Danio rerio: one gene and its partners. The protein of the gene in region 1 interacts with the protein of each later gene in a pairwise test. Links are inferred from orthologs where the notes say so. Each region holds a gene or a part of one and is shown in the gene's direction. Other genes may lie near its edges. The genes, in order: tex11, hyi and cdkn1a.

Region 1 (3,667 bases):
GGCATTTCTGTGTGGAGTGTGCATGTTCTCCCTGTGTTGGCGTGGGTTTCCTCAGGGTGTTCCGGTTTCCCCCACAGTCCAAATACATGCGCTGTAGGTGAATTGGGTAAGCTAAATTGTCCGTACTGTATGACTGAATGAGAGTGAATGGGTGTATTTCCCAGTGATGAGTTGCAGCTGGAAGGGCATCCGTTGCATAAAATATGTGATGGATAAGTTGGCGGTTCATTCCGCTGTGGCAACCCCAGATTAATAAAGGGACTAAGCCAGAAAGAAAATATTTGAATAAATGAAACAATAAAATTGGGTTTGATAGTTGGAGACCTTTTAGTCAAAAATAAATCATGCTCCTAAATGTTTATGGATTACTTTTCATTGTTAAAGATGATCTGCCTATTTGTTGATGTATGTATAAATTGTATACACTGTTTATGGGCTTAACAATAAAAAAATAATAGAAATAAAAGGTTTATGGATTACTTTCTTCTTTATCCATTCATTAATTTACCTTCGGCTTAGTCACACACTAAGTATTAAGAACAATTTAGTTCACCCAATTTACCTGTAGTGGTTGTCTTTGTACTGTGGGGGAAACTGGAGCAAACGGAGCTAACCCATGCCAACACAGGGAGAATGTGCAAACTCCACACAGAAATCCCAACTGACCTAGCAGGGACTCAAACCAGCGACCTTCTTGCTGTGAGACGACAGTTCTAACCACTGAGCCATCGTGTCGCCTTACTTTCTTCTTTTTAAACAAAATATACTGAAGAATGTTGTGGAAAAAATCAGCCATTCACATCCATATCTGGAACACAATTAATATGGGAGTCAATGGCTGTTTTTTCCCAACATTCTTCAGTATATCTTACTTTGTGTTCAGTTGAGGATGTGTTGTAACTATCCCTGTATGGGATAAACTCTCTCCCATTTCAGTTTTCACCATTCATGCAGTTAACCAGCAGAGGGCGCAGTTTAAAACATCTCCTTTACTTTCAGACTGAGCTGCTGACCCAGACTCTAGAAAACATTCAACTCTGTAAAGAGATCTGGACCACCATCAAAACATCAGGTGCATTTCCTGCTTCAATTATTTTACGTAGGCAGAATTAACTTCTACCTGTTTCTCCAAATTAACAAGGACCATAATCACTTTTTTTACATGTTGTTTCTTCATTAGGCATTTCTTCTCAAGACAAAACAGACTCATTATTGCTGCTCTATGAGTTTGAGGCTCGGGCCAAATTAAATGATCCAAAACTGGAGACTGTGCTTGAATCAGTTTTGGAGCTGGATAACATCGAGACCAAGCTGTTAGAAGTGATCGCAGGTCAGCTTCTCAAGACATAACCCTCTAATGCAGTGGTCTCAAATTTAATTCCTAGAGGGCCGCAGCTCTGCATAGTTTAGTTCCAACCACCTCAAAATCACACCAGCTGAACATTCTCTAGTAGTCTTGAACACCTTGATTATTTGGATCAGCTGTGTTTGATTAGGGTTGGAGCAAAACTGCAGAGCTGTGGCCCTCCAGGATTTTGAGACCTCCAGGATTTTGAGACCTATGCTCTAATGGATAATCAACTATTGGCTCTGTGTATGGATATACTCTACTATTCAAAAGTTTGGAGTTGTTTTTGTTTTAAATCATACTTTAATTCATTTATTTTCTTTCAGCTTAGTCTTTGATTTATCAGAGGTAGTCAAAATAGAATGAACAACCAACTATTCCAGCATATGTTTTAAACAGCAGGAACACAGTACTGGGAAACCTCCATACATTCTCACATTCACACACGCACTCATAAATTACGACAAATTTTATTCACCCAATTCACCTGTAGCGCATGTCTTTAGACTAGAGATGCCCAAACTAGGGCCTGCGGGCCAAAATTGGCCCATGATAACCTGTGATTTGGCCCACCATCCCATCTGAGAAGAGAGTAAGAATGATGGGCAGGGCTGGAGTCTTTTACAGAGATCCTCGTTTCTAATTTAATGTAAGCTTTTTTTGTTTGTTTTTATTGCTAAGCTACAAAAAAGCAAACTGAAATGAAGTGCTGTGACTGAATCAGATTTAAAAATATAAAAACTGACACTCCTCAGATACAGGACAATGCAGAAGACATTGGTGAGCAAATCGAGGCAAAAACAGGTGCAGCTTGAGTATTGTTATAAGTTCATTACACAATTAAAAAATCTATATTTTATTAGTTAATATAAATCAATGTTTATAGTTATTTTTAATTAATCATACAGTTGATTCTCTGTACAATTCTATCCATTAAAGTTTAAAACTCCTAAAAAAATTTTTTTTAAAAATGCAAATACAAATCCATCAGCGTTTCATTTCTGCCACCCCTGGGGGGATTATGTTATATTAAACACACAGCACATTGATTTTATGGCACCAGATTAAACCTTCTGACACCTTTACAGCACTCACGTACATTAAAAATAAACACAAGCCACAAATGAACATGGAGGATTGTCTCCAAGTGGCGTTCTCCAAAATTAAATGATGATTAGATTTGGACCTATTGGTATGTGTGGGCCAGTGTGTACGATTTATACAGCATATTTAAACCACCTCAGAGGATACTGGGGGTCACAAGTCACTGGCATTGTAATTTTAAGGGTTGTGAGCTAAAAACTTTGGGAACCCCTATTGTACAAAACGGCTGGATCTGATCTGATAGTTCTGTTCTTTGTGTCTACAGTGCTGGCAATGGAACCACCAGCCCATTACCCGGTACTTTGTAAGAAAGCACTGAAGATCGCTCTGTCTCTGCACAGAAAACAACCACAGGTGGACCTCATGCGCTGCAGGTCAGACGAGCTCAGTGTTTGCTACTTACACAATGACACATAACAAAAGACATTAAACTGTTTCTCATGTGACACACACCTTATACTCATGTGTGTGTGTGTGTATGTGTTAGTAACTGTTTACACAGCCTGATTCAGCTGAGCCTGCCGAACGGTGTGTCCGAGGTTCAGCCTTGCGTGTTGGAGGAAGTGTGGGGCTACTATGAGGAAGCTCTTTCCCTCATAGCAACTGCAGTGAGTTGGTTACGGTGACTCAGCAGGCATCACACACGACCCGCTGCAGCTCAGCCCCGCAATTATCCCCATCTTTGAAAGAATCTCCTGTTTCTGTCAATGGGCTTTTAGTTATGCCTCAGTTAGCAGATGCTCCATTCACCAGCCTCTTCCTGCCAATTTGGATGCTAATTTGAAGATCTCGCCTGTATCTTTTATCTTGGACTAGCGTTGCAGAAAACTTGCATAAGCATCAGGCTGCTATTCTCAATTCATGACCTTCAAGACACCATTGATATTGAATAGCATTCTATAATTCTGCAGCTATAATTACAGCGTTTAGACCAAACCATTCCTCCATCATATCTCTTTTCTATCACAGACCGAGGACTTTCCGGAGTTGGAGATCCTGTGGCTGCTGACCCGAGCGTGGAATACAGGAATCCTGCTCTACAGTCTGGCCCAATACCCTGAAGCAGAGAGGTGGTGTGGGCTGGGAATGAGCTTCTTGAGGTATCTGGGCTCTCTGCAGGACAGCTATCAAACTCAGGTATGTGCCTCTCGCTGTACAGCCATTTGAACACTCGGCACAAGGTGACACATTTCACTGCCACAATCCCAAACGCCA
Region 2 (2,858 bases), on another chromosome or scaffold:
GGTGGAGCATGAGGATGGTGTATATGTGATGTTCATGTGTGTCTCCAGGATTCACTTGATGGCTGGCAGGGTCCCGGCGGGGTCTGAACGCTGCGCTCTTGCCCTGCAGATGGAGGATACGTTTGTGCACAATCTGAAGCATGCAGCAGGTGTGCTAGACAAGGTGACCTTTGACCCCCTTAAAATTTCTAAATCAAAATTATAGAATCCAAATCTAAGTCATTAGAAATCCAATTCAAAATCTACAATTAAAAATCAAAATTGTAAAATTCCAAATTTAAATTTACAAAAAAAAAAAAAAAATTTAGAATTCCAAATTCTAAAGTTACAAAAATATATATATTTTTTGAGATTTCCAAATCTAAATTTTAGAGTTAATAATCAAAGTTTTTGAATTCTAATTTTAAGTTTTGAATTCTAAATTAACATTGTTGAATTCCAATTCAAAATATTAGAATTCCAAATCTAAATTTACAAAAAAATTTTTTTTTAAATTCTAAATCTAAATTTAATTCCAAATTTAAATTTTAGAAATATTAATCAAAGTTTTTTAATTCTAAATTAACAATGTTGAATTCCAAATCAAAATATTAGAATTCCAAATCTAAATTTACAACTAAAAATCACAATTTTAGAATTCTAAATCAAAGTTTTAGAATTCCAAATCTTTATTTAAGAATAAAAAAACTAAAAAAATAAATAAAAATTAAATTAAAAAATTTGAAATCAAAAGTTCAAAGTCCAAATTTTAATTGACTGCAGTCTTGTGTTCTTAGGTCTTACATATTTTTAAAAATTATTTATTTATTATTATTTACAGCATAAAATAATATATAACATAAATGAGTATATATAAATATCATTGTAGTCTTCCTCCAATGCTTACTGAAATACTCCTACAGTGCTTGAAACATTTGTTTTGTTTTTGATTTCGTGATGTTGTAACTCTCCACCGGGTCTCTACATTTAATACCGTGGTTTGGCTGGATGGTTTTGATGCTGTAATTTAGTGTAAGGCTGAATTTGAGAGCTTTTAAAACGATACTATACTATATAACTCTTCAATGCTGCTAATTTGATCAATAATCACTAAAAACTCTTTTACTTACACCTAACTTTTAGTACCTGTAGGTCACATATTTTGCAAAAAAAAAAAAAAAAAACGATCAAAAATTGTCTTCATCGCCCAAAAACAGTTTGTCTTTGCTCTTCAGGAAGGTCTGCTTGGTCTGATTGAGCCGATCAACAGCAGGATCACAGACCCACGATATTTCCTGCACTCTCCACATCAGGGTCAGCACTCTCTCACACTGAACATTGAGTGTGTGTTTTCTGATTCTGGATCATTTACTGATGTTTTATTGTGTTGGTGTGTAGCTGCTGAGATTCTGCAGAGAGTGGATCATCCCAGCATCAAGATGCAGATGGTTAGTTTTCTCATATTTCTCATATATTAGTCTGTCTGTCTGTCTATCTATTGTTCCATCCATCCATCCATCTATCTATCTATCCTTCCATCCTTCCATCCATCCATCCATCCATCCATCCATCCATCTATCTATCTATCCTTCCATCCATCCATCCATCCATCCATCCATCCATCCATCCATCCATCCATCCATCCATCTATCCTTCCATCCATCCATCCATCTATCCTTCCATCCATCCATCCATCCATCCATCCATCCATCCTTCCATCCATCCATCCATCCATCCATCCATCCATCCATCCATCCATCTATCTATCTATCTATCTATCTATCTATCGATCTATCTATCTATCTATCCTTCCATCCATCCATCCATCCATCCATCCATCCATCTATCTATCTATCTATCCTTCCATCCACATCCATCCATCCATCCATCTATCTATCCATCTATCTATCTATCTATCTATCTATCTATCTATCTATCTATCTATCTATCTATCTATCTATCTATCTATCTATCTATCTATCTATCTATCTATCTATCTATCTATCTATCTATCTATCTATCTATCTATCTATCTATCTATCTATCTATCCATCCTTCCATCTATCTATCCATCCATCCATCCATCTGCAGAAAACACACCTCAGACTCTCCATACACTGACTGTTCTTGTCTGCTTCTGCTGTTGTAGGACATCTTCCACTGGCAGATCATGGATGGAAACTTAACTCACAATATACGGAGATACTTACCAATGACAGGTAAACCTCACCGTTACTGCGGTAATACATAATCCTGCTGCAGTCTGTCTCAACCTAACAGACGTTATATTTCAACATCTTTACTATTAATAATTTTTAACATTCAAAAGTATTATTTTGATGAATTTTAGTAGTAGCGATTTGGCATTTTTACTTTATTTTGTAGAAAACTGAATAAAGAAAGTTTATTTTAGTGTGTGTGTGGGTATATATATATATATATATATATATATATATATATATATATATATATATATATATATATATATATATATATATATATATATATATACACACACACACACACATATATACACACATATATACACATATGCACAAACACCACAACAATAAAATAATAAAACATTTCTGTTTAAATTTCTACAAAATAAAATAAAAATGTCAAAATATTTCCTATATTTACAATATTAACATTCTAAGTTTGTATTTTTGTTGAACATTTTGTAGTAATATTTTGTCGATGTTCTGTGTTTATTTCAAGTTTTGTTTAACTGTCTTTGGTTATTTTAGTTTCGAACTTGAATACAAATTAGAGAAAAACAATACATTTTTGAGTAAAAACAGGCTCAGGTTTGATTTTTGTTGTGCTTTTTTACTATATTTTATCATGTTTATTGTTTGTTTTAGTATTCCAGCCTA
Region 3 (3,100 bases), on another chromosome or scaffold:
TAATGGGCCGACTAGGCGGAGTCTTTTCGGGCCGGTGGACCGCGAGCAGCTGCAGCGTGAGTACCGGGCGGCGCTACGGCGCGATCTGGAGGACGCATCGCGACGCTGGAGCTTCGACTTTGCGTCTGAGAAACCACTAGAGGGCGGAGACTTCCACTGGGAGGGCGTGTCCGGCGTGCGCGTGCCACTACTGTACCGCGCGTGTCAGGAAAAGCAGCAGAAACGGCCCTGTGAGGCTCATCAGCCCGGACAGTCCGCCGCTGGAAAGGAAAACATCCCGAAAACACCAGAACGATGTGCTGCACTCCCGCATGAAGTGGAGAAAACCCCAGAGAAGAGCAGCGAGCTGAAGCGCAAACAGACCAACATCACAGGTCAGACCTCTTTATTATTATTATTTAGTATTGTTATTATTTATGTATATAGCTATGTTTGTTTGTTGATTATTTTTTTAAATAACAAAAATTAAAGAAAGATAAATAAATAAATGTCGTAGTGTTTCTATAATGCAACTCTCTGATGATCTGCTTTTATGCATTTTTCTATAATACCCTATTAAAAGTGTTGAATTTTTAGATGTAAAGTTTTAAGTTTCTGTTTTTAAATTTTTCATCTAATATTTATATTTTAATGCATTTTTTAAATTGCGTATTTATTTTATATTGTACTTTAATCAACCAAAAACTTCAGCTAACAAACACGACACAGATTGATTTACATTATCGCATATTTGAATTATATACATAATCGCATATTGATAGATATTTTTACATTAATACAAATTTAGAATTAATTTTTTTGTTATAATAATGAACCACTGAGTGTAGTATTATTGTAGTAATATTAAACTGCTTGTATTCTGATGTAAATTTAAAGCGTGAGTTCGACTAATAATAAACAAATAATATCGTCTCTCTGTTCTCAGATTTCTACCAAGCCAAGAAGCGTCTAGTGGCCACGCCGCGCAAATCCGGCCAGTAGCTGAAGGAGACACACACACACACAGATAAACTCTTGACCTGCATCTACCTTCATCTGTCTGGAGCTGCATTCGTCTCGTAGCAGCGTTATTGACAGAAAACGACCTTCAGGAACCAGAGACGACACCGTTTATTCCGTTTTTATTTCAACCGTTTTATGTCAACGGTTAACATTTACAAGTGGAAATGTTCTGGAAAGATCCATTCCTCAGTCTTCCAGAGATTGTCTCTCGACGGGACCACAGAATCATGACAACTGTTTCATTACGAACAATATAAAGCGCTGATTTTTATTTCAGCGTGCACATATTCACATTGCCTTATTGCACAAAACGTAGCTAATGTTTTAAAACTCTAAACATTTGGTGCCAAATGTTGTTTTTTCCTCTTCTTCTATTTATAATTCTAACCCTTTATGTTATTTTACACATAAACCTTCATGAAGCTGCCAGTAAGTTCTCACATCTTTATCGTAATTGAGCTGCAATTACGTTTTTCTACTACATTAAACTTTGTTTAAAAAAAAAACACTTGGCGACGTTCATGAAACACGAGCAGATAGAACTGAGAGAACAAATTCATTCTTGCGTTTATTTTAACGAAAACATTTTTGCACAATTTTTTTTATGCAGTTTTTGTGTTGAAATAAATGTAGGCTTAAAGTTTACGTGCACAAAATGTTGTAAGAATTATGCAAATCTTTTGGAAAACATTTTTTTTTGTTAAATTTGTACAGAATTAGTATAGAAATGCTTTAAGAATAATTATAGCAACAAACTTATTCTACCAAATATATAAGAAATATTGCAATGACAATAAAAAAAGTTAAAAAATAAGAAATAAAAAAAACTGAAAATTAACATGCACATTTTTTTTACAAAGAATTAAATAATTATTTGCGCAATTTATTCGTGAAATTATTTTGTTGCATTAGGTTTAGCGTGAAAATCTAATTGCGTGAAACGTCAATTCGAGAATTAGAATTGACGCAATTTTACGCATTTCAATTTTAATACAACATAGATCAGATTAGACCACAAAAGACTGTTAAAACACAGCATTTTTCGTAACGAATTTGCGCAGAAGTGTGTTCTGCTCTTGCTCCATGAACGCTGACACTACATCATATTTACAAACGCTCTACAAATACATTAAAATAAACTTCATAAGAAGTACGAACACCAGCTTTCATGTGTTTCCTAATCAAGATCTCAGCTCTGTCGGCTTTCTGAAGTTTAGCATTCAGCTCTTTACCAGCTCTAGAACTCTGCTTGTTTTCTGCGACCCGTCTGTAAATATCCTGTTTATTGGATAATTCGCCGTCGATTGAGAATTGCACTTGGGGTTTCTTTTGTTTTGTTTTTATTTTTTGGAGTAGTGTAGCTTGCACAGGTCTGTTATTGTTAAAGAGCTCAAAATATATGCTGTATTTATTTTACAGATTAATATTGTATTGTAGATTTACATGTAATTGTTCTTGTAATAAAGCTGTTTATGATATAAAATTGGTTTCTTGTTACTTTTTTAATTGTCAGAATTCCTTTAGGAAACAGTTCAGAATTGTGAGATGTAAATTTAGATTTTGAAGAATGAAAGTTAGAATTAGGAGAAGTAAAAATTACAAACAAAAAAATATATATTGTGAGATGAAAACCCAGATTTTGTCAGAATTATCAGGTGTGGATTTACAAATCCAAGAAAAAAAAGTCAGTATTCCAACTCAGAATTCAAAGGAATAAAAAGTTGGAATTTTGAAGAGTGAATTGATAATACCAAGAAAAAAGTCAGTATTTCAAGATGCAAACTGGGAATTCCAAGCAAAGATGCCAGAATTGTAAATTTTAAACATAACATCAGAACTAAAAAAAAAGCAGTATTACAAGATGCAAACTTTGAATTCCAAGCAAAAAAATAAAACCGTATTTCAACATGTAAACTAAGCATTCCAAGAAAAAAGTATGAATTCCAAGATGCAAACGAAAAAAATTGGAATTCGAAGAAACAAAGTATTCCAAGATGCAAACTTTGAGTTCCAAGAGAAAAAGTAGGAATTCCAAGAAATGAAGTCAAAAGTTGGAGTTTTGAACTAAAAATTCCAAGAAAAAAGTGAAAATTCCAAG

What was found.
Region 2: the proteins of tex11 (region 1) and hyi interact in binary tests that used the Homo sapiens proteins (3 or more experiments, as listed by UniProt). The two-hybrid records come from large-scale screens. The link is inferred for Danio rerio from reciprocal best matches to the Homo sapiens genes TEX11 and HYI.
Region 3: the proteins of tex11 (region 1) and cdkn1a interact in binary tests that used the Homo sapiens proteins (3 or more experiments, as listed by UniProt). The link is inferred for Danio rerio from reciprocal best matches to the Homo sapiens genes TEX11 and CDKN1A.

What each region holds. Positions count from the first base shown.
Region 1 is NC_133189.1:37,610,226-37,613,892, forward strand, and holds part of tex11 (testis-expressed protein 11), read left to right. Parts: intron 1-999; coding exon 1,000-1,072; intron 1,073-1,180; coding exon 1,181-1,330; intron 1,331-2,717; coding exon 2,718-2,826; intron 2,827-2,939; coding exon 2,940-3,060; intron 3,061-3,421; coding exon 3,422-3,589; intron 3,590-3,667. UniProt on the Homo sapiens protein: Regulator of crossing-over during meiosis. Involved in initiation and/or maintenance of chromosome synapsis and formation of crossovers.
Region 2 is NC_133181.1:3,331,110-3,333,967, reverse strand, and holds part of hyi (putative hydroxypyruvate isomerase), read left to right. Parts: intron 1-48; coding exon 49-163; intron 164-1,214; coding exon 1,215-1,293; intron 1,294-1,377; coding exon 1,378-1,427; intron 1,428-2,128; coding exon 2,129-2,198; intron 2,199-2,858. UniProt on the Homo sapiens protein: Catalyzes the reversible isomerization between hydroxypyruvate and 2-hydroxy-3-oxopropanoate (also termed tartronate semialdehyde).
Region 3 is NC_133197.1:619,900-622,999, reverse strand, and holds the end of cdkn1a (cyclin-dependent kinase inhibitor 1), read left to right. Parts: coding exon 1-374; intron 375-925; coding exon 926-981; 3' UTR 982-2,485; downstream 2,486-3,100. UniProt on the Homo sapiens protein: Plays an important role in controlling cell cycle progression and DNA damage-induced G2 arrest. Involved in p53/TP53 mediated inhibition of cellular proliferation in response to DNA damage.